Caenorhabditis elegans: one gene and its partner. The protein of the gene in region 1 interacts with the protein of each later gene in a pairwise test. Each region holds a gene or a part of one and is shown on either strand. Other genes may lie near its edges.

Region 1 (4,830 bases):
TTTTCTAGATTTTTTATTTTTAATACAAATAAAAGAAACACTCACTTATCAATAGGCTCATCAAACGATCGCTGGGGATCTTTCAACGTGACATTATTGAGAATAAACGTCCAAACGTTATCACAATATCGATAAGTGAGCAGTTGTGTCGCACAAAAATTCATTTTCTCTTTTGGAAGCCGCGAGATTTGCTTGTTCATGCTTTTATCAAATTGTTGCAGAACTTTCGAAGCAAGAGATTTCGTGAGAAGTCCTTCGGATTCCATGTCCTCAAGAGTTTTATCGAGTGCCTGACCCAGTGTGGTCCCTCGGTAAAGAGCGTATGACGACATTTCTGGAAGATTCTGAAATATCGTTGGATTAAATTTTTCTCGAGAAGATGCCAGATATATTTTCAGATTATCAACCGAGAAACTATGGATTAGTATGACAAAAAAGAACAAAAACAAACAATATCTTTAGTTTTTAATGAACATCGAGATTGAATTTTTCACAAAGACATGTATAAAACAGTTCAAAATAGATAATACCAGTACAAGAAAAAGGGGAACATACATAAGAGGTTAAAATTGATAAAACGATAAGGCATTTAATCCTTGATTTGGCCCGGAAAATAAGGATTAATATTGACAACAGGGCCCGGGGCTTCCGTCACTGTGTACATCTCCTCGACGCGTATCACCATTTCTTTTCGATTTTGACGACATCCGATGAGACATTTGCGAGCTGAAAAATGCATTTTTCTTTGTTTAAAGAATTTTTAGAACAAATATTTTTAGTTAATGAATATCATCTCTTACATTTGCACTGCTTACATGGCCAATGGCACCCATCACACTCCACCACGAGACAATCACAAAGATCGAAAAACAAAGTCTGTCCTTTTGCGGTAACCGAAAGTTTTCCTGTTTTGTCATGATGCAAAGGTTCGTCTCTCAGATCCGCCTGCTTCTCCGCGGCTACACGTTTCGAGCGGTTGGTGCTAATAATATCCACAGAGTCGGGCAAAAATCGAGACATTTCATCTCCTGGATTCGCGAACTGGAGGCCTTGAAGCTCTCGGTGTGCCATTCTCGTTCGACGGCTCGTTCCTGAACTTTCCTTTCGAGATGATGGCTGCAACTTCTGGGAACTTTGTTAAAATTTTCTTTATTCAAAAGCGTACCTTTGTTTCGAAATCGTCAAAAAGCTCCGCATCGACTTCATCGCAAATCTCGGAATCTTGTTGCATTTCACTATCCGTCGAGAAATCATTTTCAAGCTGAAAAAAATACAAAAATTAAATACATTAAAATTTCAAATTTCAAACCTCTGCTGCAGCTTTCGCCAGACCGGCAATTTGTGCGAGAACGTCATTGGAGCTCATTTTTAGAATTATTGGTTCAGAAATTTAGTAGGAAATATGATTTATATCGATTTAATTTGAATATATCCGAGGAAATTCTATTATTCGATATGCTCTCCTCGCGGGAAATAACATGTGCGTACCACTTGCGAAAAAGCGCGCCGCGCGTTGCATTCTGTGACCACGCCCTCATTAATTTCTTATTCATTCAGTTCCTTTGAGTGTTTTTCATGAAATTTCTGCTGTCAATTTATTATTTTTAAAATATTTTTCTAAACGTTAGTTAACTTTTAGTTTGTTACAGATGCTACATAATGGGGAAGGCGGAATGAGTGTTAATGATCTTCAAGAGCTCATCGAGCGACGGATACCCGATAATCGAGCTCAACTGGAAACGAGTCATGCGAATCTTCAACAAGTTGCCGCGTATTGTGAGGATAATTATATACAATCAAACGTGTGGTTTAATTTTTTCTTTTAAGTTTATGAATTAAACGTTTTCAGAATAAATCTGCTGCGCTAGAGGAATCCAAGAAATTCGCGATCCAGGCACTCGCCAGCGTAGCCTACCAGATTAACAAGATGGTTACGTAAGTATTTCAATTAATTTGTTTTAATTATGAATCTTTTTTTCAGAGATTTACACGATATGCTTGCTCTACAAACCGATAAAGTGAACTCTTTAACAAATCAAGTTCAATATGTTAGCCAAGTAGTTGATGTACATAAAGAGAAGCTTGCAAGACGAGAAATTGGTTCTCTCACAACCAATAAAACATTATTCAAGCAACCCAAAATCATTGCACCAGCAATCCCAGATGAAAAGCAGAGATATCAACGAACGCCCATCGATTTTTCTGTTCTTGACGGAATAGGGCATGGTGTCAGAACATCGGATCCACCGAGAGCAGCACCAATCTCAAGAGCAACTTCATCAATTTCTGGCAGTTCTCCATCACAATTTCACAATGAATCTCCAGCGTATGGAGTTTATGCTGGTGAACGAACGGCTACGTTAGGAAGAACAATGAGACCGTATGCTCCATCAATTGCTCCATCGGATTATCGGTTGCCACAGGTGAACATTTGAAATATTCATAGAGGCTGAAAATAATTTGCTTTTCGTGTTTTTGACAAAACGTTTTCAAAAAAAAAAGGGAGCGAAAAATTCTGACATAACTTATACATTTTAAATTTTAAACTTTTTTTTCTGAAAAATACACTCAATATTGAAAAAAAAGTGAACCATTGATAAATTTATTCAAAAAACGGTTTTTTTGACCCAAAACGACCGCATTTCATAATGAGACTTCTGAAAATATCGAAAAAAAATTTAGAGCGAGCCTGAATAAGAATCTGAAATCCTTGTTACAGCAGTTAGATACAGTATTTATTGAATAATCACATAATTAATTTTGAAATTTTTTAGAAGTCTTTTTATGAAATTCAATGTTTCAGGCTAGTTTTTGTCGACTTCAGACTAAACAACTAATTTTTAAAAAATCAGCTCATTTCCTTTTCAAAAAATTAATCAAGTTTTTTCTAACATAATCCGATTACTTTTTACAGGTCACACCACAATCAGAATCACGAATCGGCCGTCAAATGAGCCACGGATCAGAGTTCGGAGATCATATGAGCGGTGGTGGTGGAAGCGGAAGTCAACACGGATCATCAGACTATAATTCCATTTATCAACCTGATCGTTACGGAACTATTCGAGCTGGTGGTCGGACTACAGTGGATGGTAGCTTTTCTATTCCCAGACTATCATCTGCACAAAGTAGTGCTGGAGGTCCAGAATCACCAACATTCCCACTTCCACCACCAGCTATGAATTATACTGGATATGTTGCACCGGGAAGTGTGGTACAACAACAACAACAACAACAAATGCAACAACAAAATTATGGAACTATTCGAAAATCAACGGTGAACCGACATGATCTTCCACCTCCACCAAATTCTTTGCTCACTGGAATGTCAAGTCGAATGCCAACACAAGATGATATGGATGATCTACCACCTCCACCAGAATCAGTTGGTGGGTCATCAGCGTATGGAGTGTTTGCTGGTAGAACAGAATCGTACAGTTCGAGTCAGCCACCAAGTCTCTTTGATACGAGTGCTGGATGGATGCCCAACGAGTATTTGGAAAAAGGTATTTTTGGAGATTTTAATTTGATTGAAAAATTGTCGGAAAAAAATTCTCTAAGCTTTTCTGTATTATTTTACGATTTAGAAAATTGGCTAAAATTGTTAGTGAAAAATTTATTATAAAAACCGAAAAAAGTTTAAAAAAATTAAATTTAATAAAAATTTAAAAAAGAGAAAAAAACAAAAAATTTTGTGATATTGGAAAGTGATTTTGAAAAATTCAAATATCTCCAAATTTTTTTTTTTTGAGAATTTTCAAATTTTGAAAATTATAAGCTTTGATTTTTTAAAAAGTTATCTTTTTAGCTTTTATTTTCGAAAAAAACGAAAAATAAATTTCCTTTAAAAACATCGGAGTATCAAAAAAATCCAAAAAGAATCGAAATCTTAAGTTGTAAAATGCGATTTTTTGCAGAATTTTTAATGTTACAAAGCAATTATATTTGTCAATTTAAACATTTTCGAAAAAAACCAATCTTTTTTTTCAGTACGGGTCCTGTACGACTATGATGCTGCAAAAGAAGACGAGTTGACACTTCGCGAGAACGCAATTGTCTACGTACTGAAAAAGAACGATGACGACTGGTATGAAGGTGTCTTGGATGGAGTCACTGGGCTTTTCCCTGGAAACTACGTAGTTCCAGTATGATAACAAGAAATGCTAACCCTGCTAAATCAATTGCTTTTAATCTCACTTTTATTCATATTCATATATTGCCTTTTGCCTCGAGTACTTGTATGTGAAAAGCCAAAAATAAACGATGGATATGTAATCATGAAGGAAGCAGTGGTCCCCTCGTTTGCAGCAGTGAGAAGCCTAAAAATAGCCAATACGACTGCTATTTTCGAGTCTCGACGCATTTCCTGAACGCATGTGCTCGTTCTCTCACTGCCCCCGTACTACTCTCTTTTGGTTTTCCTAGGGGCTCGCCTATTTAATGAGATTGCTCATTTTCTCTTCATGCACACACATTCATTCATTTTCTTATATTTTTGTGCCTTCTTATTTCTTTTCCTCTCCTCTCTAGTTTATTTTTTCTTCTATTTTAGAATTTTAAATAATTCATGTTCGGCACGACGAATAGTGACGCCAAAGAGTTTGCAAGGCGTGGGAATTGTATCTTTTTTGGTGGGCGGTGGACACAGATTTTCTTAGAGGAGGAACAAAGGTCAAAAATACAAGCAGAATTCTTGAACAGTTGAAATTCCCGCGCGATTTCCAATAAGATGACTTGGATCGCGGTGGGACCTTAACTATTGCACAGACGCAAAATTTTGTCATTTTTGCGCCAAAATACGGTACTCGGTCTCGACACGACAATTTTTTA
Region 2 (4,581 bases), on another chromosome or scaffold:
ATTTTGAAATCAGGCAATTTGCCGATTTACCGATAGGCCGAGCATTTTCAAATCCGGCAATTTGCCGATTTGCCGGAAATTTCAACTCCGGCAGTTTGCCGATTTGTCGGAAATTCTATTTTCGGCAATTCTCCAATTTTCCGATAAGTTTCAATTTTGGCAATTGCCGATTTGTCCATTTGCCGGAAATTGTCCAATCCGGCAATTTGCCGATTTTCCGGAAATTTCAATTTCGGCAGTTTGCCGATTTGCCAAAAAGTTTCAATTTTGGCAATTGTCGAATTGCCGGAAATTTTGAAATCAGGCAACTTGCCGGAAATTTTCAATTCCGGCAATTTTCAATTCACGCAGTTTGCCGATTTGCCAAAAAGATTCAATTTTGGCAATTGTCGATTTGCCGGAAATTTTGAAATCAGGCAATTCGCCGATTTACCGATAGGCCGAGCATTTTCAAATCCGGCAATTTGCCGATTTGCCGGAAATTTCCACTCCGGCAGTTTGCCGATTTGCCGGAAATCAATTCGAAATACAACTCCCCAATTATTCCAGAATACCTCGAATGTATCAAACAAATGATCGCCACTGATATGAACAAATCGCGAAGCGAAGTGATGGCGGAGCTCGGCGAAAAAGTGTCAAAGGTGCTGCTCTACCAATTTGTGCGCGGAAATTTGGGTGAAGATGTGAACGGAAAAGCTCATTGGATATGCAATCTGAATGTTATCGATGAGACATACATTTATCTGCTCAGCCACGACATTCGGTTCGGAGTTTTCGATGGTCCGACTCTGTTCCAGCGGGCTCCTGGCTCGGGATTCCTTCCGGCGGCTCATAAGAATCGAGTAGAGAAAATGTTCCCAATGGTAAGGAAATATAAGGTTTTCGACTAGTTTGATCTTTAAAAATGGCGGGAAAATAATCTAGAAGGGTGTGAAGACAAGCAATAGGCTAAAAATCGATAAATTTTGAAAAATAAGCTCAAAAATTCAAATTCACAGGTGCAATTCGCCGAAACTGCCTGGTCGAACCACTGGATTCATGCTGATGACCCGAAATTCTTTGTCGACTCGATTTGCGAGTTCCTGGAGGAACCTGATCAGCTTGGAATGAGAGCTTACATTTAAATTATGAAATTTGACATGGAATTCCAGCAGTTTTAGCAGTTTTTCCTCAATTTATTCGATAAATTTCTTGAATTTTACATAATTCGTTTATAATAAATGGGTTTTCTCTTATTATTCGTTTGAAAAATTGCGTTTTTGGCCTGCAAAAATATTCTAATTTGAATCTCCCTCGCTTTTCACGAAACGCGCCAACCAGTGGTTGCTGGCGCGTTTCTCGTGAGCTTGCGCGAACGCTGCGCATTTCTTTTTTTCTCATTTCTCATCTTTTCTGCGTAAAATTATCCAATTTTTCTCTTTTTTTTTAAATTTTTCACGCCAAATTAAGAATTTGCTTACGTGGCAATCGTTTGAACCGCCTAAAAAAAAGCCCGTTATTTTCGTCGAAAATCATGTTGTCGCCGAGTTGGTGTTTTATCGATTTTTTTCCACCGAAAATTTTCGATTTTCAGAGCAAAATATGCCGTTGGAAAGCGGAAAATTGATCAATGACTTGCGTGTTAGTGAATTGAAGGTAAGTGAATCATTTTTTCCACTGGAAATTCCCTATAAAATGCACTTTTTGCAGACAGAGCTCGAGAAGCGTGGTTTGAGTACTCAAGGAGTCAAGGTTGTGCTCACTGTTCGTTTGAATAAGGTAAAAATGTGTGATGTATTTATTTATCGTCGAATCTCCTGTCAAAATTGAAAAATTACAAAAAAAAACAATTTATTTGAAAAATGCAATAAAAGTCCACGTTGCTAGTTGCTACCAGTGTCCGATGGAGGGCAAAGCTGCAAAAAAATCGATATATAAATTCGGTTTCCCACCAATTGAAAGCGATACTTCTCGAATTTCCGGCCCAACTTTCCCGGAAAAAAGAAAAAGGGCTCCCCTCCCCCCATAAATTGTGCATTCTATTCACCACTTGTGTGATCAAATTAGCGTCTCAAAATGCATAGAAAAAGGGCGCTGGCTAATGAGATGAACGGAACTTGAAGAAGAATTGGCTGCTTTTTTTCCGGCGAAAATCCATTTCCAACGGCTCAGACATTTTCGAGCTCCCCTTGTGAGCACACACGTTCCGGTGGAAGAGCACGTAAAAGCGGGGGGAAAAGAAGATGAAGCCGCCCGTGATTTGATTTGAAGGGAAAATTGGAAGAAGAAGAAGAAGGAAAAAGCTTTTAAGCGGATAGAGACAAAGTTCCCTTTTGTTCACCTCACCAACTTCCGGGAAAAGTGGCGTTACTGGACGAATTGTGGGGGTTTCTACAAGCTAATGCAATGAAAATGACGAATTTTGAAGGAAAAATCAACTAATTTGATGTTAGCAGGGAAATTTTCCGACGTTTAGTGTTTTTTTTTTCACAAAAAAAATGATTTCCTAACATCAAATTAGACCAATTTCAATTCAAAATTCGATATTCTCAGCTCTAACTTTTTTCATCGTCAATTTCCTACCTTTGGCTGTCGATGGAAAACAAATTGAGAATGATGAATAAATTGCGAGTCATCTTTCGCCGCATGTTTTGGCATCTCGGACGGCGCAAATGTGTTGGAATGAATAAGTCGGTAGCCGGAAGACGCGAGTTGGTCGAACGCTTTCTCTAAGTTGCTGTGTTTTAGGAAGAATCTGGAAAGAGAGGATTGGGTTGAAGCTTTGAAATCTGGTTAACTTGTCATTTGGTAGTGCTGAAATACCAATCGTTCTGCTCAAATATTATGTTTCAAAAAGAGCTTATGAGCTCTTCTTGTGAAACTGTCGATTTCCGCTAGTGTACTCCCCCGTGTGGTGTGATCTACAAAAAATGCGGATATTTTTCCCCAAAAAAATTTCACGTCAGCACGCATTTTTTGTAGATCAAACGGAGACGGAACATTTTTTAATGGTTCAGAAATCAGCTATTATAGCTAGAAACTGTAAATTTCGCGTAAATCTACATGACGGGTTTTCAGTATTTCTGGCCGCGAAAAAGCCTGTCTCTACCTAGAAGTGTAGCGATCCATCTCGAAATCCGTGCCTCCTCCGTCTCTACACTCGTTCAACGAATCGCCGAACACTGCTCGGCACATGATTACTTTTCCGGATACGACGATTCGTAGAACCTGAAAATATCCTTTTTCTCGACGTCAAAAATGATGAGCATTTGTCTGTGTGTGTCTCTCTTCTCTTAACATACATATTCCCCTATTGCTGTATTCATAAGCAATAATAGGGGAAAATTGATGGGAGAAAACCGCAAGAGAAATGAACAGAAAAAAGGAAAAAAAAACGAGAGCAGGAAAAATGGGCTTGTTGTTGTTCCCTTTACTGGTTCGGGATTTGATGACGCGAAAGCTTTTCCTGTTGTTTTTTGAGCCATAAAATGGATATTGTGTACCTTTCGAAACGTGACTTCTGGATTGATACGTCCGGTTGAGAGAGCCGCATGACAAGAGATGCTAATGGTTGACGGGCAGGCGGCCTCCACAAATGAAATGAGCCCAAGACGTTTGGCCTGGAATAAAGAGCAGCGATTCTTGGTTTCGGTGCATTTCCTGCTTTATCGTGAACACACGTGATGCCAGGCTGTCCCATCACGGTTTGATCTACAAAAAATGCGGGAATTTGTTGTCCAAAAATATGTGGCATCAGCACGTTCTTAACCATACGAAATCAGTTGAGAATTCTGTGTCTCTTCTCCCGCATTTTTTGTAGATCTATGTAGATCAATCCCATATGAGACACTCTGACACCACGCGTGAACGTTCAATTTTCCCACGGCAAGATTATGCCAAGATCTTATTCTGCGTTCAAGGATGATCGAATTCACTACCAGAAAGCTTAATAGTGTGTTCCCCAAGTAAACGATAATTTTTTTTTGAAATTTTGTCCTAAAATATCCAAAATAGGAGTTTTGAGACAATTTTGAGCATTTTTGAGCATTCTAGCTCCCATTTTCGCCAATCAATCTGGTAATTGAGCTTAGGGGGAATTTTTATGCTGGGGAACGAAAAGCTAAATTATGCATTTCCACGGTGAAATGCTCATTATCCTAATTGAGCTCCATCTAGAAATGACAGAATTATGGGATTTTTTTAAATCTCGTATAGCTCTTTCTCATTTCGGAATCCATAAATCCAAAGCAGCCGAGCTCTTACAAAAAGCTTCCATTAACTGCTCGCGGAGCCCATAGACTCACCTCAACGGCCAATCGGGCCCACTGATCGAAAGATTCGGAGACGATAATGCTCATGTCACTGCGACGAAGCGCCTCGACGAGGATCCGCACAATCTTGTCATCTGAATCAGACGTTGCGTCGGGCGAAGTGGCGAGCAACGATTGTGGAGCACGTTGAAGTGTGGCACGAGTCGTTGAAATTGTTGCTCCGTGAGCACAAATAATTTGTGCAACTTGCATGTATGTGTGTGTGCGTTCACTTCTTCGTTTATCTCTAGTGTTTGTTAGCAGAAAGAAAGAAGAAGAATAGGAGGCAAAA

What was found. The genes of interacting proteins can lie anywhere in the genome.
Region 2: the proteins of abi-1 (region 1) and phm-2 interact in a two-hybrid assay, tested with the Caenorhabditis elegans proteins (2 studies listed by BioGRID).

The regions. Positions count from the first base shown.
Region 1 is NC_003281.10:5,689,550-5,694,379, reverse strand, and holds abi-1 (SH3 domain-containing protein), read left to right. Parts: upstream 1-1,649; 5' UTR 1,650-1,673; coding exon 1,674-1,802; intron 1,803-1,849; coding exon 1,850-1,935; intron 1,936-1,981; coding exon 1,982-2,423; intron 2,424-2,914; coding exon 2,915-3,506; intron 3,507-3,990; coding exon 3,991-4,151; 3' UTR 4,152-4,273; downstream 4,274-4,830. Other genes in the region: B0336.13 (Transcription initiation factor IIA small chain homolog), read right to left, coding at 46-332; arle-14 (ARF7 effector protein C-terminal domain-containing protein), read right to left, coding at 590-726, 801-1,125, 1,166-1,261, 1,310-1,366.
Region 2 is NC_003279.8:11,515,985-11,520,565, forward strand, and holds the start of phm-2 (Pharyngeal muscle protein 2), read left to right. Parts: upstream 1-1,573; 5' UTR 1,574-1,581; coding exon 1,582-1,635; intron 1,636-1,689; coding exon 1,690-1,758; intron 1,759-1,763; exon of another isoform or gene 1,764-1,862; coding exon of another isoform or gene 1,863-1,895; intron 1,896-2,562; coding exon of another isoform or gene 2,563-2,734; intron 2,735-3,088; coding exon of another isoform or gene 3,089-3,207; intron 3,208-3,482; coding exon of another isoform or gene 3,483-3,599; intron 3,600-3,989; exon of another isoform or gene 3,990-4,118; intron 4,119-4,283; coding exon of another isoform or gene 4,284-4,502; exon of another isoform or gene 4,503-4,581. Other genes in the region: abhd-11.1 (AB hydrolase-1 domain-containing protein), read left to right, coding at 550-863, 999-1,124; F32B4.5 (KCTD8/12/16 H1 domain-containing protein), read right to left, coding at 1,863-1,895, 2,563-2,734, 3,089-3,207, 3,483-3,599, 4,284-4,502.